Anolis sagrei: one gene and its partners. The main gene of each other region encodes a partner of the protein of the gene in region 2 in a complex. Links are inferred from orthologs where the notes say so. Each region holds a gene or a part of one and is shown on either strand. Other genes may lie near its edges.

What was found. The genes of interacting proteins can lie anywhere in the genome.
Region 1: the proteins of WDR20 (region 2) and WDR48 are in contact, whole or in part, in a crystal structure (PDB 5K1C), measured with the Homo sapiens proteins. The link is inferred for Anolis sagrei from reciprocal best matches to the Homo sapiens genes WDR20 and WDR48. Residues at the interface, in NP_653175.2 of Homo sapiens: Arg20, Ser364, Thr384, Glu385, Asp386, Glu524, Pro525, Leu526; in NP_065890.1 of Homo sapiens: Val191, Lys207, Gly208, Gly240, Gln241, Gln242, Arg243, Cys244, Ile245.
Region 3: the proteins of WDR20 (region 2) and USP46 are in contact, whole or in part, in a crystal structure (PDB 6JLQ), measured with the Homo sapiens proteins. The link is inferred for Anolis sagrei from reciprocal best matches to the Homo sapiens genes WDR20 and USP46. Residues at the interface, in NP_653175.2 of Homo sapiens: Asn41, Ser42, Gly44, Arg151, Lys259, Tyr261, Phe262, Gly263, Glu282, Asp283, Asp284, Leu285, His301, Lys304, Ser305, Trp306, Gln374, Asp375, Thr376, Leu509, Arg516, Met517, His533, Glu534, Arg535; in NP_073743.2 of Homo sapiens: Asn205, Thr206, Ser207, Thr209, His210, Arg213, Arg273, Val275, Phe276, Pro277, Glu279, Leu280, Arg281, Phe283, Asp293, Met295, Gln338, Glu342, Tyr344, Thr347, Ser348.

What each region holds. Positions count from the first base shown.
Region 1 is NC_090026.1:123,938,468-123,945,644, forward strand, and holds the start of WDR48 (WD repeat-containing protein 48), read left to right. Parts: upstream 1-4,168; 5' UTR 4,169-4,216; coding exon 4,217-4,264; intron 4,265-7,177. UniProt on the Homo sapiens protein: Regulator of deubiquitinating complexes, which acts as a strong activator of USP1, USP12 and USP46. Enhances the USP1-mediated deubiquitination of FANCD2; USP1 being almost inactive by itself.
Region 2 is NC_090021.1:323,794,640-323,801,766, forward strand, and holds the start of WDR20 (WD repeat-containing protein 20), read left to right. Parts: upstream 1-4,122; 5' UTR 4,123-4,251; coding exon 4,252-4,515; intron 4,516-7,127. UniProt on the Homo sapiens protein: Regulator of deubiquitinating complexes. Activates deubiquitinating activity of complexes containing USP12. Anchors at the base of the ubiquitin-contacting loop of USP12 and remotely modulates the catalytic center of the enzyme.
Region 3 is NC_090025.1:75,293,840-75,301,061, forward strand, and holds the start of USP46 (ubiquitin carboxyl-terminal hydrolase 46), read left to right. Parts: upstream 1-4,213; 5' UTR 4,214-4,693; coding exon 4,694-4,729; exon of another isoform or gene 4,730-4,742; intron 4,743-7,222. UniProt on the Homo sapiens protein: Deubiquitinating enzyme that plays a role in behavior, possibly by regulating GABA action. May act by mediating the deubiquitination of GAD1/GAD67.

The DNA of each region.
Region 1 (7,177 bases), on a different chromosome or scaffold from region 2:
TTTGGGAAGTCTGGCCCAAGTCTGTTGTTCGTAGTGTTCAGAATGCTCGGATTGTAGGTGAACTATAAATCCCAGTAACTACAACTCCCAAATGTCAACGTCTATTTTCCCCAAACTCCATGTTCATATTTGAGCATATGGAATATTTGTGCCAAGTTTGTTCCAGATCCATAATAGTTTGAGTCCACAGTGTTCTCTGGATGTAGATGAACTACAACTCCCAAACTCAAGGTCAATGCCCACCAAACCCTTCTAGTGTTTTCTGTTGGTCATGGGAGTCTTGTATGCCAAGTTTGGTTCAATTCCATTATTGGTGGAGTTCAGAATGCTCTTTGATTGTAGGTGAACTATAAATCCCAGCAACTACAACTCCCAAAAGATAAAATAAATTTTTTTGAGTAATGGTCACTTCTTGGGTTAGTAGGTGTCTTGTGGCCAAATTTGGTGGCAATTCATCCAGTGGTTTTTGAGTTCTGTTAATCCCACAAACAAACATTACATTTTTATTTATATAGACTAGCCACCCCCTGTCAGGCATTGCTGTGGCCCAGTCTGGTGAGGAAGAACTTCCTGACTGTGAGAGCCGTTCAGCAGTGGAACTCTCTGCCCCGGAGTGTGGTGGAGGCTCCTTCTTTGGAGGCTTTAAAGCAGAGGCTGGATGGCCATCTGTCAGGGGTGATTTGAATGCAATATTCCTGCTTCTTGAAAGGGGGTTGGACTGGATGGCCCATGAGGTCTCTTCCAACTCTTTGATTCTATGATTCTATGATTCTTTCTGCTTGTTGGCAAACAGTATTTCTTGCTGTTTCTCTGTCAGTGTTTATGTGGAGATTGTCTGGTTTGCCTACTCTGGGACATGCAACATATAATTGTCCTTCTTTAGGGGTCCCTTTCAAATCTATGTTATTGTTTCTCTGTGTGTGAATCATATATATCTATCTCTATCTATGGCTGGATGGCTCTTTGTCGGGAGGGCTTTGACTACGTTTTCATGCCCTGGTGAAGGGAGTTGGACTGAATGACTTTAAGTATTTTCTGTTGGTCATGGGGGTTCTGTGTGGGAAGTTTGCCCCAATTCCACCATTGGTGGGGTTCAGAATGCTCTTTGATTGTAGGTGAACTATAAATCCCAGTAACTACAACTCCCAAATGTTGACGTCTATTTTCCTCAAACTCCATGTTCATATTTGGGCATATGGAATATTTGTGCCAAGTTTGTTCCAGATCCATCATTGTTTGAGTCCACAGTGTTCTCTGGATGTAGATGAACTAATAATAATAATAATAATAATAATAACAACAACAACACTTTATTTGTGCCTCGCTACCATCTCTCCAAGGGACTCGGTGCGGCTTACATGAGGCCGAGCCCAAATACAATACACGCAATAATGACAACAATACAAGCAATTAAAATAAAAAAAACATGGACAATAAGATATGCAACATTAACAATAAGACAGCACACAATTAAAAATGTGGGAAGGCCAAATGTAGAATTAAAATTGAAAATAATGCTGGGGTTACAACTCCCAAACTCAAAGTCAATGCCCACCAAACCCTTCTAATGTTTTCTGTTGGTCATGGGAGTCTTGTATGCCAAGTTTGGTTCAATTCCATTATTGGTGGAGTTCAGAATGCTCTTTGATTGTAGGTGAACTATAAATCCCAGTAACTACAACTCCCAAATGTTGACGTCTATTTTCCTCAAACTCCATGTTCATATTTGGGCATATGGAATATTTGTGCCAAGTTTGTTCCAGATCCATCATTGTTTGAGTCCACAGTGTTCTCTGGATGTAGATGAACTAATAATAATAATAATAATAATAACAACAACAACACTTTATTTGTGCCTCGCTACCATCTCTCCAAGGGACTCGGTGCGGCTTACATGAGGCCGAGCCCAAATACAATACACGCAATAATGACAACAATACAAGCAATTAAAATAAAAAAAACATGGACAATAAGATATGCAACATTAACAATAAGACAGCACACAATTAAAAATGTGGGAAGGCCAAATGTAGAATTAAAATTGAAAATAATGCTGGGGTTACAACTCCCAAACTCAAGGTCAATGCCCACCAAACCCTTCTAATGTTTTCTGTTGGTCATGGGAGTCTTGTATGCCAAGTTTGGTTCAATTCCATTATTGGTGGAGTTCAGAATGCTCTTTGATTGTAGGTGAACTATAAATCCCAGTAACTACAACCCCCAAATGTCAAGGTCTATTTCTTCCAAACTCCCATCTGTGTTCATATTTAGGCATATGGAATATTTGTGCCAAGTTTGGTCCAGATCCATCGTTGTTTGAGTCCACAGTGCTCTCTGGGTGTAGGTGATCTACAACTCCAAAACCAAAGGACACTACCCACCAAACCCTTCCAGTCTTTTCTGTTGGTCATGGGAGCCCTGTGTGCTAAGTTTGGTTGAATTCCATCATTGGTGGGGTTCAGAATGCTCTTTGATTGTAGGTGAACTATAAATCCTAGTAACTACAACTCCCAAATGTCAACGTCTATTTCCCCAAACTCCACCAGTGTTCACATTTGGGCCTATTGAGTATTCTTGTAGAGTTTGGTCCAGATCCATCGTTGGTGGGATTCAGAATGCTCTTTGATTGTAGGTGAACTATAAATCCCAACAACTACAACTCCCAAATGACAAAATCAGATTTTTTTTTTTTTAGTGAAGGACATACATTGGGTTGTTAGGTGACTTATGTCCAAACTTGGTGTCAATTCGTCCAGTGGTTTTTGAGTTCTGTTAATCCCACAAACAAACATTACATTGTATTGTCGAAGGCTTTCATGGCCGGAATCACCGGGTTGTTGTAGGTTTTTTCGGGCTGTATGGCCATGTTCTAGAGGCATTCTCTCCTGACGTTTCGCCTGCATCTATGGCAAGCCTCCTCAGAGGTAGTGAGGTCTGTTGGAATTTGGAAAATGGGTTTATATATCTGTGGAATGACCAGGGTGGGACAAAGGGCTCTTCTCTGCTCGAGCTAGGTGTGAATGTTTCAACTGACCACCTTCATTAGCATTTGAAGACCTGGCTGAGCCTGGGAGAATCTTTTGTGGAGAGGTATTAAGATGTGCCCGAGCTAGGTGTGAATGTTTCAACTGACCACCTTCATTAGCATTTGAAGGCCTGGCTGAGCCTGAGGGAATCTTTTGTGGAGAGGTATTAAGATGTGCCCGAGCTAGGTGTGAATGTTTCAAGTGACCACCTTCATTAGCATTTGAAGGCCTGGCTGAGCCTGGGGGAATCTTTTGTGGAGAGGTATTAAGATGTGCCCGAGCTAGGTGTGAATGTTTCAAGTGACCACCTTCATTAGCATTTGAAGGCCTGGCTGAGCCTGGGGGAATCTTTTGTGGAGAGGTATTAAGATGTGCCTGAGCTAGGTGTGAATGTTTCAACTGACCACCTTCATTAGCATTTGAAGGCCAGGCTGAGCCTGGGGGAATCTTTTGTTGAGAGGTATTAAGATGTGCCCGAGCTAGGTGTGAATGTATCAAGTGATCACCTTCATTAGCATTTGAAGGCCTGGCTGAGCCTGGGGGAATCTTTTGTGGAGAGGTATTAAGATGTGCCCGAGCTAGGTGTGAATGTTTCAACTGACCACCTTCATTAGCATTTGAAGGCCAGGCTGAGCCTGGGGGAATCTTTTGTGGAGAGGTATTAAGATGTGCCCGAGCTAGGTGTGAATGTTTCAACTGACCACCTTCATTAGCATTTGAAGGCCTGGCTGAGCCTGGGGGAATCTTTTGTGGAGAGGTATTAAGATGTTTTTGCTGTTTTTATTTACATTACATTTTTATGTATATAGATAGCTAGATTGAAGTTATTATTGAGCTTTCTGTCATTAACATTTCCCATTGACTAGAGCTGTTGTGATACAGCAACCTTTGGCAGACTACTTGCTCTGTTGAGTCAGGAAACTCAACTGCCACTAGTCAAGTCTCGCGAGAGACAGAGAGAGAGAAACGGGAAAAAGCAAAACCCCGCGCCCGCTCGTAATAACGGCTGCCATAGCAACCCCTCAGGAGCCACGCCCCTTTCTTCCCGCCTGCTTGTTTGAGGAACAGAGGGGAAGCCCTTGACAGGCAGAGCCAGACCAAGCGGGGGCGGGACTTCCGGGCCGGCGGACGCCTCTCCTCCTCCCCCCTCCCCCCCACCCGGAAATGACGACGGAGTGTCAACATGCAAGATGGCGGCTCATCACAGGCAGAACACGGCCGGGCGGCGGAAAGTACAGGTGAGGGAGGCGAAAGGAAGGGCCGGCGAGGGCGGAGGGGGGGAGGCGAGGGTTAGGAGGGTCGAGGCCCGGCTCCTGGACCCTGAGGAGGAAGGAGAAGGGGGAAGAGGGCCAAGGTGCGGGGAGGAGGAGGAGAGGAGGGAGGCGGCTTGGCGGGAAGACCCAGGGGCCTCCGTTGTCCGTGGCAACGGGAGAACTTCCCTCAGCATCCTGCCTCTCTCCCTCGCTCCTCTTCCTCCTTCTCCTCCTCCTTTCAACCTTAATCTATATAAATACAAATGTAATGCTGGTTTGTAGGATTAACAGAACTCAGAAACCACTGGGGGAATTGACACCAAATTTGGACAGTACAGCCCTAACAAACAGTACAATTTGGACAGTACAGCCCTAAATGAAGGGCAATGAGTGTTCATCACCCCAAAAATTACAAAAACCAACAAAACTCCTAGCAGAACTGACTTAAAAAACCCAAAAATATACCATATATGTGTGTGTGTGTGTATCCATATCCATATTTTATTTATTTACTTTATTTGTATACCGCTCTTCTCAGCCCTTAAGCCACTCAGAGCGGTTTACAACAGTTTAGATATACAGAATACAAAATCATTATGCATTTAAAAACAATTACTAGTATTATATTGCATTACATTACAATATTATAAATATTATATGTATATACAATATATTATATTATAACATATTATTAGAATAGCACAGGAGACAAGGTGGAACTGTCCCCTGGCCCCTCTTTCTTCGCTCTGGCCCAGAGCGGCAGTTGGTGCTGGGGGGGAGGGGTCCCCAACGGGTCCCCCACACACATATATATACACACACATACACGAGGACAAGCCCGTCAAATACAAATACAACAATACATCAACAAACAAGCAAGCAAATAAAACAATATAAATAATACAGTTAAACATATAAGCAATAGCACACAAAAGATTTTAAAGCATTATTACAAACCCAGATGTAGATTAAAATTTCAAAACCCTGGGTGTGAACAGAGTAGGGTATGTCTACGCATGGGAGGGTTTTAAAGAGTGATATGGGGGGATCAATCCAGATAGATAAAGTGCTTATATCCATATATATATATATATACACACACATACATACATATACACACACACATATATATATACACACACACGCACACACACTCATGTACACATGCACACACAAATATACACATGCACACATATATAAACACAAATATGCATATAGACAATCACACATATACACAATATACATATCTACATATAAACACACAAATATATATGCACATATACACATCTTCACATACACATATGCACACACATATATACACCCACATATATATATATATATATATATATATATATTATATACACGCAAACACATATATACACACACACACACACAAAACACTTATATACAGACTGGGCCACAGCAACGTGTGGCAGGGGACAGCTGATAATAATGATAATGATAATAATAATAATAATACTTTATTTATACCTTGCCACCATCTCCCCGAAGGGACTCAGGGCGGCTTACATGAGGACAAGCCCATCAAATACAAATACAACAATACATCAACAAACAAACAAGCAAATAAAACAATATAAATAATGCAGTTAAACATATAAGCAATAGCACACAAAAGATTTAAAAGCATTATTGCAAGGCCAGATGTAGATTAAAATTTTAAAATCCTGGGTGTGTACAGAGTAGGGTATGTCTAGGCATGGGGGGTTTTAAAGAGTGATATGGGGGGATCAATCCAACGGATAGATAAAGTGCTTCAGAGGACATATGGAAGGAAATTGGTCAGATCAAGCATTATTTCCTTCATTCAGGGAAGGCACACTGGAACAGCCACGTTTTCAATCTCCTCCTAAAGACTGCCAAGGTGGGAGCTTGTCTGATAACTTTAGGTAGAGAGTTCCAGAGTCGGGAGGCCACCATAGTGAAAGCCCTCTCCCTCGTCCCCACCAATTGCACCTGCATGGCAGAGGACAACTAGTAATAATAATAATAATAATAATAATAATAATAATAATAATAATATTTATTTATACTCCGCCACCATCTCCCCGAAGGGACTCAGGGCGGCTTACATGAGGACAAGCCCGTCAAATACAAATACAATAATACATCAATAAACAAGCAAGCAAATAAAACAATATAAATAATACAGTTAAACATATAAGCAATAGCACACAAAAGATTTAAAAGCATTATTGCAAGACCAGATGTAGATTAAAATTTTAAAACCCTGGATGTGTACAGAGTAGGGTATGTCTAGGCATGGGGGGTTTTAAAGAGTGATATGGGAGGAATCAATCCAACAGATAGATAAAGTGCTTCAGAGGACATATGGAAGGAAATTGGTCAGATCGGGCATTATTTTCTTCATTCAGAGAAGGCACACTGGAACAGCCATGTTTTCAATCTCCTCCTAAAGACTGCCAAGGTGGGAGCTTGTCTGATATCTTTAGGTAGAGAATTCCAGAGTCGGGGGGCCACCATAGAGAAGGCCCTCTCCCTCGTCTCCACCAATCAGGCCTGCGAAGAGGGTGGGAGCGAGAGCAGGGCCTCCGCAGATGAACAAAGAGATCGCGTGGGTACATAAACAGAAATGTGGTCGCATAGGTAGACGGGTCCCAAATCGTTCAAGGCTTTGTCGGTAAGAACCTGCACCTTGAATTGGGACCGGAAATGAAGGGCAGCCAATGGAGCTCCTTAAACAGGGGTTAACCACTCTCTGTAAGTCACTCCAGTTAGGAGCCTGACTGCAGCCTGTTAAACCAATTAAAATTTCCGAGCCGTCTTCAAGGGCAGCACCACGTAGAGTTCATTGCAGTAATCCAGTCTGGAGGTGACTAAGGCATGGACCACCATGATCAGATCTGACTTCACGAG
Region 2 (7,127 bases):
TAGGATTGTTGTTGTTGTTGTGTGCTTTCAAGTCGTTTCAGTCTTGGGTTGACCCTGAGCGAGGGCTGGGTAAATGACCTTGGAGGGCCGTATCCGGCCCTCAGGCCTTAGTTTGAGGACCCCTGGCATATACATTTTAATGGGGGAACCACCAAACAAAGTCCAGAATTATCAGCTATGAAGGCCCCCTGGTAGTGCAGCGGGTTAAACCAATGAACTTCTTGACTAAAAGGTTGGCAGTTCAAATCCGGGGAGCAGGGTGAGCTCCTGTTGTTAGCCCCAGCTTCTGCTAACCTAGCAGTTCAAAAACACACAAATATGAGTAGATCAATAGGTACCACTTCTGCAGGAAGGTAACAGTGCTCCATGCAGACATGCGGGCTACATGACCTTGGAGGCGTCTACGGACAATGCTGGCTCTTCGGCTTAGAAATGGAAATGAGCACCAACCCCCAAAGTTGGACACGACTAGACTTAATGTCAAGGGGAAACCTTTACCTTAACTTATATAACATTATATCAGCCCCTTGTGGCACAGTATGTTAAACCACTAAGCTGCAGGACTTGCTGACCAAAAAGTCAGCAGTTTGAATCCGGGGAGTGAGGTGAGCTCCTGCTGTTAGGCCCAGTTTCTGCCAACCTAGCAGTTTGAAACATGTGAATGTGGGTAGATCAATAGGTACCACTCCAACAGGAAGGTCACCACTATCCATGCGGTCATGCTGGCCACATGACCTTAGCTCATAGCTGCAGTTAGACCGACCACTTGCTCCCTCGATCCGTGTCCCTCTTGGTTGGTGAAATCGTGCTTGGAAGGATTACGCAACCCTCTGTTGAAGATTATAAACAGCTCCCTTGAGCAAGGAGTTTTTCCAGAGGGTTTAAAAGAGGTGGTGGTCTCTCCCCTGCTGAAGAAACCAGACTTAGATTGTTCGGTTTCCTCCAGTTACCGCCCAGTTTCGAATCTCTCGTTCCTGGGCAAGATGATTGAGAGGGCAGCAGCGGAGCAGTTGCAGCAATTCCTAGACGACACAGCCGGACTAGATCCCTTCCAATCTGTCTTCCGTGTGGGGCACGGGACAGAGACTGTGCTGGTCTCCATCACGGATCACCTTCGATGCCAGCTTGACCAGGGCGGGTCAGCGCTGCTTGTGTTATTGGATCTCACAGCAGCATTTGACACAGTCGACCACAATCTCTTGACCCACCGCCTTGCTGTTGCTGGAATCAGGGGGTCAGCTTTAAACTGGCTATCCTCCTTTCTTCACAACTGTGGACAGTGAGTGGAGAGGGGAGGCCTGGAGAGGGGAGGCCTCTATCTTGTGGGGTTCCTCAGGGGGCCATTCTCTCCCCTCTGTTATTTAACATCTATATGCGACCACTTGCTCAGCTGGTTCGAGGTTTGGGGCTTGAGTGTTATCAGTACGCCGATGACACTCAGCTGGTGCTGAAGATGGAAGGCCGACCGGACTCTGTACCCGATTGTTTCCATCAGTGCCTTGAGGCTGTTACCGGATGGCTGCGTGCCAGCAGGTTGAGGGTGAATCCAGCAAAGACGGAGATCCTATGGCTGGGTCGACCGGGCAGTGGGGACATCCAGCTGCCTACCCTGGATGGCGAGGCGTTACGCCCGTCATCATTGGTAAAGAGTCTGAGAGTCCTTTTGGACCCTCTGCTGACGATGGAGGCCCAGGTCTCCGCTGTTAGTAGAACCGCCTTCTTTCATCTGCGACAGGCTAGACGGCTGGCCCCCTACCTGTCCAGGGACGACCTAGCTACGGTGATCCAGGTCACGGTCATCTCAAGACTGGACTACTGTAACGCCCTCTACATTGGCCTTCCTCTGTCGGTGATCCGGAAGCTCAAGTTGGTACAAATGCAGCTGCTCAGCTTCTTGCGGGAATTCCGATGAGATGCCACATAACACCAATCTTACTACAGCTGCATTGGTTACCAATTGAGCACCGGATCACTTTCAAAGTGATGGTACTCACCTTTAAGGCCTTTCATGGTCTGGAGCCGATGTATCTGAGGGACCGCCTCACCCCTACCAACCCCTGAAGTCTGTGCCTTGCGGGATTTACCAGCTTTCCGCAGGGCATGTAAGACATACCTGTTTTGACAGGCTTTTAATGTTTGATATTGCTGTTTTTAAATTGTTTTAAATTGCTTTTAAATTTTGTTAGATTTTAGCCATTCTTGTAAGCCGCTCCGAGCCCCAGGGGAGTGGCGGCATATAAGTTTAAATAATAAATTCCGAGCCCAATTTAAGGTGCAGGTGCTTACCTACAAAGCCCTAAATGGTTTGGGACCACCCTACCTGTGTGACCGCATCTCCATCTACGAACCCACGCGTTCATTACGCTCATCTGGAGAGGCCCTGCTCGTGATCCCGCCTGCATCGCAAGCACATTTGGTGGGAACACGAGACAGGGCCTTTTCCGTGGTGGCCCCCTGTCTCTGGAACACTCTCCCCAAAGATCTTAGACAGGCCCCTACATTGGCAGTCTTCAGAAAGAATTTGAAGACCTGGCTGTTCCGATGTGCCTTTCCTGATTAGGAAATCTTCAATACATAGTCCCAGAAGCACTTTATTAGAATTTAAGACTGCAGCACACTGCACACTGCACTTGCCCTATAATATCACGTCACATCAGCACTTTTTAATCCTGTACCCTCTACTCTGGCCTGGCCCAGTTTTATCTTGTTGATGTATTGTTTATTGCTTGTGGCTTTGTTGTTTTAATACTGCTTTAATTGTTTTTAATTTGCCTAAATTACAGTGAAGACATCTGCCCTTGCACTGTGCTACTCTGCTGCTGAGTATGCATGCCCAGTGTGGAACACATCTCACCATACTAAAACAGTGGACGTGGCTCTTAATGAGACATGCCGCATTATCACGGGGTGTCTGCGCCCTACACCACTGGAGAAATTACACTGCTTAGCCGGTATTGCACCACCTGGCATCCGCCGGGAAGTAGCAGCCAATAGTGAAAGGACCAAGGCAGAGACATCTCCAGCTCATCCCCTGTTTGGGTATCAGCCAGCACGCCAACGACTTAAATCTAGACATAGTTTTCTAAGATCTACAGAGACACTCGCTGGAACACCTCAGTAAGCGAGAGTCCAAAAGTGGCAGGCTCAAACCCAGCACCTCAACCAATGGCTGATACCAAATGAGAGACTCCCTCCTGGGCACACAGAAGACTGGGCGACTTGGAAGGCATTGAACAGACTGCGCTCTGGCACCACGAGATGCAGAGCCAACCTTCAGAAATGGGGCTACAAAGTGGAATCCTCGACGTGCGAGTGTGGAGAAGAGCAAACCACTGACCACCTGCTGCAATCCAACCTGAGCCCTGTCACATGCACAATGGAGGACCTTCTTGCAGCAACACCGGAAGCACTCCAAGTGGCCAGATACTGGTCAAAGGACATTTAATCAATTACCCCAAACTCACAAGATGTGTATTTTTCTGTTTGTTTGCTTTGTTCTGTTAGACTGGTTGTTCTGACACGACAAATAAATAAATTTGCCTAAGTGTATTGTTATGTTGAAGCCTTGGCCTTTGTAAGCCGCATCGAGTCCTTTGGGAGATGCTAGCGGGGTACAAATAAAGTTTAATAATAATAAAAATAATAAATAAATAAATAAATTTGTGTCTACTATTTAAAAACATTATTATGTATACATTCTTTGGTGGGATCAAGAAAGACAGAATTATACATTGTTTTGGTTGTCTTTTGGGGGGGGCTCGCTGTATATTCATATAAATACATACACACAAACGCACTCCTTTCCCCATTCCAGTTCCCGCAACACCTACAATTATTCACAGAGCATTCTGAATTCCACCAATAATAGAATTGGGCCAAACCTCCCACACAGAACCCTCATGTGGGCCACAGCAACGCGTGGCAGGGAACAGCTAGTATTCATATAAATACGTACACACAAACGCACTCCTTTCCCCACTCCAGTTCCCACAACACTACAAGGAAGTGACATCTCCTTCTGCGCATGCGCACTGCTACCCATGGCTTTCAGAGGTCCCCCTCCGGCGCACGCGCAGAGGCGCGGTAAACAGGGGAAGGGCTCTTAGGCCCCGCCCCCTTCCATCCCGGGCGCGAGCGCTCCGTGGGCTTCCCTTCTTCCGCGCTGGGACCGAAGGGGAAAGGCGAGTTCCTCTCCGCCTTTTCGCGCGCCTGCGCACTGGCCCTTACATCCGGGGCCTGGCCACAGGATGAATGCTCCTTTCCAAGATGGCGGCGGAGGGAGGAGGGAAGGAGATGAACGAGATTAAGACCCAGTTTACCACCCGCGAGGGGCTCTACAAGCTGCTCAGCCACTCCGAGTACAGCCGGCCCAACCGAGTGCCCTTCAATTCGCAGGGCTCCAACCCCGTCCGCGTCTCCTTCGTCAACGTCAACGACCAGAGCGGGAACGGCGACCGGCTCTGCTTCAATGTGGGCCGGGAGCTCTACTTCTACATCTACAAGGGGGTCCGCAAGGTAACGCCATGGCTGGAGGGAGGAGGGCGGCCTGAGGCACGGAGAGGGCCCCGAGCCTCTCTCTCCCCATTTATACGCAGTTTCCAAAAACAATTTTGTGCATGAAACAAAGTTTATGCCTTCATGGCCGGAATCACTGGGTTGCTGTGAGTTTTCCGGGCTGTCTGGCCATGTTCCAGAAGTATTCTCTCCTGACATTTCTCCCACTTCTATGGCAGGCATCCTCAGAGGTTGAGGGGTTTGTTGGAAACTAAGCAGGTGGGGTTTATATATCTGTGGAATGTCCAAGGTGAGAGAAAGGACTCTTGTCTGTTTCAGGAAAGCCTGAATGTTGCAGTTGGCTAGCTTGATTAGCATTGAATAGCCTTGCAGCTTCAAAGCCTGGCTGCTTCTTTCTTGGAATCCTTTGTTGGGATGTGTTAGCTGGCCCTGATTGTTTTCTGTCTGGAATTGCCAGTTTTCTGAGTGTTCCCCCTTATTTACTGTCCTGATTCCAGAGGTTTTTTTTTAATACTGGTAGCCAGATTTTCTTCATTTTCATGGTTTCTTCCATTCCGTTGATCTGCCTATGAACCCACCAGGACTTTGAGATCTTCCGGGGAGGCCCTGCTCTCGATCCCGCCTGCTTCTCAAGCTCAGCTGGCGGGGACGAGAGATAGGGCCTTCTCCGTGGTGGCTCCTCGGCTGTGGAACGCCCTTCCTACGGACATTAGACTAGCACCATCTCTAATGGTATTCCGCAAAAAAGTGAAGACCTGGCTGTTTGAGCAGGCGTTCGAATAATTAGTGCAATGATTGGTTAATGAACACTGGAATGGAACAATGGATGACGAATCTGGAACATGTTTTTGATGACGAGATGACAGTGAATGGGTCGTGTAATGTGTAATGTGTTAGGTTGTCAACTGTTTCAATACTGTAGCACTGAATTTTTGCTGTTCGTATTTGTTGTGAACCGCTGTGAGTCGCCTTCGGGCTGAGAACAGCGGTATATAAGCAAGGCAAATAAATAAATAAATAATTGTCCACATGCTTGTGGATTTCAATGGCTTCTCTTCATATTTTATTTATTTATTTAGTACATTTCTATACCGCCCCTCTTAGCATTCCGGGACTCGAGGCAGTTTACAAGGCAAGAATTCAATGCCGCCAAGGACACAATTACAATATACAATATAAAAAACATCATCAACAATAAAATCAAATGTTGTGGTTGTTAGTGGTTCAGCATTTCTGTGTTCTCATACAATATGCTGTGTGCAGGTTGGTCCATCAAGTGGCTGACATCTCTGGTGGAATTAGTCATGTTCCTGGATTCCTGGATTTGTGTTTGGGCAATGCTGAGTTTGGTGGTTTCTATGTAGTCTTGTCCACAGCTGTGTGGTATACAGTACTATAGACCCCTGCTGAAGAGAGAGGATCCCTGTTGTTTATCTTGTTCATCTAGAGATATATAAACCTCACTTGCCTGGTTTCCAACAGACCTCATGACCTCTGAGGATGCCTGCCATAGATGTGGGTGAAACGTCAGGAGAGAATGCTTCTGGAACATGGTCATACAGCCCAGAAACCATAGCGCAACCCAAAGTTTATATCTGTTACACATTAGAAAGCTGAACTATCAGGAAGCAGAGGCTGATTGTAACAGACCATGGTACATGGTACAGGTTGAGCACACCTTATCTGAAATGCTTGGGACTGGAAGGATTTTGGATTTTGAGGGTCCCCCTAACCAGATTTCAGTAAATCTGTATATTGTGAGATACCCTGGGGGGGGGGGGGGGGTCAATGCTTAATTACAAAATTCAGGCAGACTTTTCAAGATGAAGGTTTTTAAGATCAATTCAGGAGGTGTTGTGGTTTTAGCTTTTAATATGCATCAAATAGATTTGGGTGGTTTAATCTGTTTATATTCAATTCTGGTTTAATATTTGTATATTTTAAATGCTGTGCTAATGTTTTTATGTTAAGCCGCTTTGAGTCCCCTTCTGGAGGCATAAAGCGGGGTATTAAAGAAATATAATAATAATAATAATACACAGAGCCCGAAGGCTATTTTATATATGATTTTAATTTTAAAATCTAAAATAATGTGCCTGAAACGAAGATTTTGGAATACTTGTACATATGCATATGTGTATTGTACTTACACATATATAGTAAGATAACTTGGAGATGGCGTCAAAATATAAACACAGAATTCATTTATGCTTCATATATCTGAAGGTAATTTTGTATATGGCTTTTGTGCTTGAAACCAAGTTTTTGTATGTCGAACCATCAGAAAGGAGAGGTTGGCTATTGCAACAGTCTCAGGCTGATTATCCGTTATCAGAAATTCTTGGGAGCAGAAGTGCTTTGAGTTTTTCCTTTTGAATTTTTGGTGTATCTGTTTTTACATACATGTATATAATGTCATTTCTTGGAGATGGGGTTCAGGTCTTAAGACTAAAACAGTGTGGTTCACAGTGATGTCTGCATGTGAGTGAACTGCAGATTCCATCGTCCCAGGGCCATTCCCTCTGAATACCGCCAGTGCTTAAAGTTGGTCATGGGGGGTATGTGTGCCAATTTTCATCCAGATCTGTTGTTGGAGGGAGTCCCGTGGCTTT
Region 3 (7,222 bases), on a different chromosome or scaffold from region 2:
CAGGGAGTTTCAGAAAAACATCTATTTTTGCTTCATTGACTATTCTAAAGCCTTTGACTGTGTGGATCATAATAAACTGTGGCAAGTTCTTGGTGGGATGGGCATCCCAAGCCACCTTGTCTCTCTCCTGAGGAATCTGTACAAGGACCAAGTAGCAACAGTCAGAACTGACCACGGAACAACAGACTGGTTCAAGATTGGGAAAGGCGTACGGCAAGGCTGCATCCTCTCACCCAACCTTTTTAACTTGTATGCAGAACTCATCATGCGATGTGCGGGGCTTGATGAATGCAAAGCCGGGGTGAAAATTGCTGGAAGAAACATTAACAACCTCAGATATGCAGATGACACCACTCTGATGGCCGAAAGCGAGGAGGAGCTGAGGAGCCTTCTAATCAAGGTGAAAGAAGAAACCGCAAAAGCTGGGTTGCAGCTAAACATTAAAAAAAAAAAACCAAGATTATGGCAACAAGAATGATTGACAACTGGGAAATAGAGGGAGAAAACGTGGAGGCCGTGACAGACTTTGTATTTCTAGACGCTTACTTCTTGGGAGGAGAGCAATGTCCAGTCTCGATAAAATAGTAAAGAGTAGAGACATCAGACTGGCAACAAAGATCTGCCTAGTCAAAGCCATGGTATTCCCTGTAGTAACCTACGGATGTGAGAGCTAGACCTTAGGGAAGGCTGAGCGAAGGAAGATAGATGCTTTTGAGCTGTGGTGTTGGAGGAAAGTTCTGAGAGTGCCTTGGACTGCGAGAAGATCCAACCAGTCCATCCTCCAGGAAATAAAGCCCGACTGCTCATTGGAGGGAAGGATACTAGAGACAAAGTTGAAGTAATTTGGCCACATCATGAGGAGACAGCAAGGCCTAGAGAAGACAATTATGCTGGGGAAAGTGGAAGGCAAAAGGAAGAGGGGCCGACCAAGGACAAGATGGATGGATGGCATCCTCAAAGTGACTGGACTGACCTTGAAGGAGCTGGGGGTGGTGACGGCCGACAGGGAGCTCTGGCGTGGACTGGTCCATGAGGTCACGAAGAGTCGGAGACGACTGAACAAATGAACAACAACAAGATCCATGTCTAAATGGACCTTGGGCAAGATTGTTTCTGTTGGCTCCCTCTTGAAGGTCAGAAGATTTTTTTGAGGTTATATGACAGCAGCAATAGTCAAACTTCGAAGGTGATGAGAATTACAAATGTAATTTTCCACAATGCTCTGGAAAGTCTGACTTTGTTGTGATGCCATGCCTAGCCCTCCCCCATGTCAATAAAATAGATCTGTGAAGAGCTCACAATGCTTTGGAAGCCGGTGTCTTGGAAGTTGGATATCAATTGATAATGGGTTAGTGGCATGGGTAATAGGCAATGTCCTCTTCTGAAAGAAGAATGGGGGAAAAAAGAATTGCAGATTTGTAGTCTTATTACATACACTCATTTGGAAGTTCTTTTTCACAATAATTCACAATGAGGGTGTTGTGTGGTTTCAGGACTGTATGGCCGTTTTCCAGCAGCATTTTCTTCTGATGTTTTGTGTTCTGCACTGAAGATGCCAGCCACAGATGCAAGTGAAATATCAGGAGAAAATGCTTCTAGAACACGATCATACAGCCCAGAAACTTCTTATACGAAAGCTGAATGGAACAACCTGAGGATCACAACCAGATACAGTGAAGACATCTGCTCTTGCGCTATGCTACTCTGCTGCTGAGTATGCATGCCCAGTGCAGAACACATCTCACCACACTAAAACAGTGGATGTGGCTCTTAATGAGACATGCTGCATTATCACAGGGTATCTGCGCCTTCCACCACTGGAGAAATTACACTGTTTAGCTGGTATTGCACCACCTGACATCCGCCGGAAAGTGGCAGCCAATAGTGAAAGGACCAAAGGCAGTGACATCTCCAGCTTGTTTGGGCATCAGCCAGCATGTCAATGACTTAAATCAAGAAATAGTTTTCTAAGATCTACAGAGACATTCGCTGGAACACCTCAGCAAGCGAGAGTCCAAAAGTGGCAGGCTCAAACCCAGAACCTCAACCAGTGGCTGATACCAAATGAGAGACTCCCCCCTGGGCACACAGAAGACTGGGCAACTTGGAAGGCGCTGAACAGACTGCGCTCTGGCACCACAAGATGCAGAACTAATCTTAAGAAATGGGGCTACAAAGTGGAATCCACGACATACGAGTGTGGAGAGAAGCAAACCACTGACCACCTGCTGCAATGCAACCTGAGCCCTGCCACATGCACGATGAAGGACCTTCTTGCGGCAACCCCAGAGGCACTCCAAGTGGCCAGATACTGGTCAAAGGACATTTAACCAACTACCAAATTCGCAAAATCTGTGTGGTTTTTTTTCTTTTTCTTTTTAATCTCAGTGTTTTGTTCTGCTCTGTTAGAATTGTAATACAATGGTTGCTGATGACACGATAAATAATAAATAGTTCACCTACAATCACAGAGCATTCTGAACCCCACCAACTATGGAATTGAACCAAACTTGGCACAACAGAAAATACTGGAAGGCTTTGGTGGGCAGTGCCCTTTGGTTTTGGAGTTGTAGTTCACCTACATCCAGAGAGCACTTTGGACTCAAACAGTGATGGATCTGGACCAAACTTGGCACGAATACTCAATATCCCCAAATGTGAACATTAGTGAAATTTGGGGAAAATAGACCTTGACCTTTGGGAGTTGTAGTTACTGGGATTTATAGTTCACCTATAATCAAAGAGTATTCTGAACTCCACTAACAATAGAACTGGGCACACAGAACCCCCATGACCAACAGAAAATACTGTGTTTTCTGATGGTCTTTGGCGACTCCTCTGATGCCCCCTCACGACCCCCCCAGGGGTCCTGACCCCCAGGTTGAGAAATGCTGCTCTATGTACACATAATAAAATACATAACAAAAGCCAATAATTATATATAGTTAAAACATTAAGTCAATATAATTAAAAACTGCTAACAATACCAGTCTAGTGGCCATTATCTAGCTGAATTCTGTGGTTGGAGACTCCATCAAACTTATCCATAGTCCATTATCATAGTCATTGTCATCATTGCCATTGTCCGCATAGTTACTCAAATGCCTGGTCCCACATCCATGTTTTTAATTTCTTTCTAAAGGAGAGGAGGGATGAAGATAACCTAATTTCCCTGGGGAGTGAATTCCACAGGTGGGGGCCACCACCAAGAAGGCCCTGTTCCTTGTCCCCACCAAGCCCGTTTGAGACAGAGGTGGGGCCGAGAGCAGGGCCTCCCCAGAAGATCTTAAGCTCCAAGATGAGACATAGAAAGAGCTACGTTTGGACAGGTACACTGGGCTGGAACCGTATAGGGTTTTATAGGTCAAAACCAGCACTTTGAATTGTGCTCGGAACTGGATCGGCAGCAAGTTCAAAGCAGATATTGTGGGATTTTCTGTCTTGATATTCTGGGATATAGTGCTGTGTGGAAGGGCCCCTACAATTAAATAGTCATAACTGCCATGTATTCATGATCTTGATGTAGTGCCTTTTGGGGACCTTGAAAGTCTCCCAAATCCCACTTACTGGTAGGCAGCTGTTGGTATCAATATGGAGCTCTCCCCCTGTTGATCAGCCATCCCTCAGATGGGAGGGGAATTCACCTACGTAACTGGTGGACTTTGGGGAAAATAGAATCTTGACATTTGGGAATTGTAGTTGCTGGGATTTATAGTTCACCTGCAATCAAAGAGCATTCTGAACCTCACCAACGATAGAATTGGGCCAAACATCCCACACAGAACTCCCATGTGGGCCACAGCAAAGCGTGGCAGGGGACGGCTAGTAAACTATAAATATTGTGAAATTATGGTTTGTTTCTCATAGTGACACCCCACCTGAGTTATACTCAGTTTTTGGGCGAATTTTAACACACCAAGCTCAAAAGGTTGCCCATCACTGGCCTAAGACAATTTGGGGTCTCCTGCAACAGGGCAAACGTTGTCAACAGACAGCAGGCATCAAGTGGCAAGGCCTCATTAGATGTAATTGTAGAAGAAGCCTTAATTATTATTTTTTCTGGAGGAACTCAAGCCAAACCCAGGCCAAGGTCCCTTTCCCCCTAAAACTCTTCTCCTCTTGGGTGCCCCAGTGGGTGGGACCATCCCCTTTGGCCTTCCGCGCCTCCCCATTGGCTGCCTCCCTCCAATTGGGCCAAGCGGTTGGTTGCCGGCCACGCCACTCGCGGGGATTGACCTTCCCTTGTTTTCAATGCCGCTGTCAAAGTTGATCACTGGGGCGCTGCTCGGCGATGGAGAGAAGGGAAGAGGAGGAGGAGGAAGAGGAAGGAGAAGAAGAGGAAGCGGGAGAGGGGGATTAGTAGTAGTCCAGTCCTAGCCAGGACACAGCGGATCCCTGTAGATCTAGGCGATCGGTTCAGCAAATAAGGAGAGGGCTAGGGAGGCGGCGCAGTGGAGAGAGAGGAAGGAGCAGCCGGCAAAGGCAGAGAAGGAAGGGCTGGAGGCTTGGCTCATCCCTCTCTCTCTCTCTCTTCCCGCCGTCTGATCCTCGGATCCCCAAGCTAGAGCTTTCCTCCTGCCCCTGTCTCTCTTTCCTCCTCCTCTTCCTCCCCCCCCCCCTTCCCCCAACCATGACCGTTTCGGGTTTCACCTCATAAAGATGGCGGTGGGGGATCGCTGCAACCTTTAGACTCATGACTGTCAGAAACATCGCCTCCATTTGTAATATGGTGAGTACTGGAGGGCAAGGGCTCTGCTATGATTCTTTTTGGGAGGAGGAGGGGGATCGGATTTTGCACAAAAAGCAGGAGGTGGGGCTCCTTCTTGCCAGATTTCCAGCACCGCCCTTTTCCTGAGAGTAAGGGGCCGCCCAACCCTGAGGAGTCCTCCTTGCACAAGGCAAAACCCCGCCTTTTCCAGGAATGGCCCCTCATAGGTGGGATCTGCACTCCAAACCGCCCAGAGTTATGTCTCTAAGGGTGCATCTGCATTGTTGAATTGATGCACTTTGGCACCACTTTTCACTGCCTTGGCTCAATGCTGTGGGATCTTGAGAAATGTAGTTTGACAAGGGCCCCTTTCCACATCTGTATAAAACTCCACATTATCTGCTTTGAAGTGGATTATATGCCAGTGTCGACTACAATAACTCAGTTCAAAGCAGATATTCAAAGCAGGTTTGGAAGTGATCCTGGACTCATCGCTGAGCCTGGAACCCCAGGTCGTGGCGGTGGCCGGGAGAGCTTTCGCACAATTAAAACTTGTGCGCCAGCTGCGCCCGTACCTTGGGAAGTCGGATCTGGCCACGGTGGTCCACGCTCTTGTTACATCCCGGTTAGATTACTGCAATGCACTCTACGTGGGGTTGCCTTTGAAGACTGTTCAGAAACTTCAATTAGTCCAGTGGGAGGCAACCAGACTGCTCACCGGAGCGTCATACAAGGAGCATACCACCCCCTGTTATGTCAGCTCCACTGGCTGCCAATCCAATTCCGAGCACAATTCAAAGTGCTGGTTTTGACCTACAAAACCCTATATGGTTCCGGCCCAGTGTATCTGTCCGAACGGCTCTCCTTCTACGTCCCACCTCGGAATCTAAGATCTTCTGGGGAGGCCTTGCTCTCGACCCTACCTCTATCACAAGTGAGATTGGCGGGGACGAGAAGCAGGGCCTTCTTGGTGGTGGCCCCTCACCTGTGGAATTCACTCCCGGGGGAAATTAGATCGGCAACATCCCTTCTTTCCTTCAGAAAAAAACTGACAACAGGGATTTGGGATCAGGCATTTGGACAACCTGGCAGATGAAAAAGGACGTGGCGATAGACTGGAATTGACAAATAGAATGGAATTATGGAACTCTGAAAGACGCACGCTGAGCTTGTGATTAGTTTTTAGTGATTGTGTTATATATTGATTGTTTAATTGTGATAAATGTTGATTGCTGTTTTTATATGTACATGTACTCTATGTAGGCATCGAATTGTGCCTTTTTTGTAAGCCGCCCTGAGTCCCCCCCTTGGGGTTTGAGAAGGGCGGGGTAAAAGTAACTGAAATAAATAAATAAATAAATAATAAACTTTATTTATATACCGCTTTATCTCCCCAAGGGGACTCAGAGCAGTTCCCAGGTAACATCACAAAACATACAGAGTAAAAACAACATAACCATAAGATTATCAAACAAAATATAAGCATAAAAATTGTCACCATAACACACATATATTAAAAGTAATCTTCGATGTTCAAGGCAATTAAAAATTTAAAAGGCCGGGCCAAGATTTGTGCAAGCCCAAAAATTCTTGCCCGGGAATTAAGTGCAATGCTATGGCAGGCAAAAATAATATTAGGTATGGGTCTGTGGCTGTTCATTCTGGGGCCCGAACCAGAAGGAGATGCGATCGCAGAGATAGGCAGGGCCCGAACTGTTTAGGGCTTTATAGGTCATGACCTGCACCTTGAGTTTGGCTCAGCAACTTATCGACAGCCAATGAAGCTGTTTTAAGAGGGGTGTTGTATGCTCCCTATAGTTTGCTCCAGTAAGGAGCCTGGCAGCCACCCGCTGTACCAGTTCAAACTTCCGGGCCGTCTTCAAGGGCAACCCCACATAGAGCGCATTGCAATAGTCCAGTTTGGATGTAACCAAGGCGTGGACCACCTTGGCCAAATCATAGCCTTGAGCTGTAGTGGCTAAAGTGGGCCCTATATTCCACAATATAGGGCCCTTCCACACAGCCCTATATCCCAGAATATCAAGGCAGAAAATTCCACAACATCTGCTTTGAACTGGGTTATCGGAGTCAGATGATGTGGGATTTCCTGCTTTGATATTCTGGGATATAGGGCTGTGTGGAAGGGCCCACAGATGCATGCTCTCTGTGTGTATTGGAAAAGGTGCAGAAAGGCAGCATCAAGCAAACAGGGATGATACTTGAAGTGTGTGAGGCATATAATCCAGATTATCAAACTAGATAAGCCTCATTATATGCTTTGAACTGGATTATATGAGTCAACACTGCCATATAATCCAGTTCAAAGCAGTCAATCTGGATTTTATATGGCAGTGTAGAAGGATTATCAATGCAGACAACAACAGCAACAACAATAAACTTTATTTATATACTGCTCTATCTCCCCGAGGAGGGCTCAGGGTGGTTTCCAAGTAAGATCACCAAAACATACAGAGTAAACAGCATGACATAAAATTAACAAAACAAATTAGCATA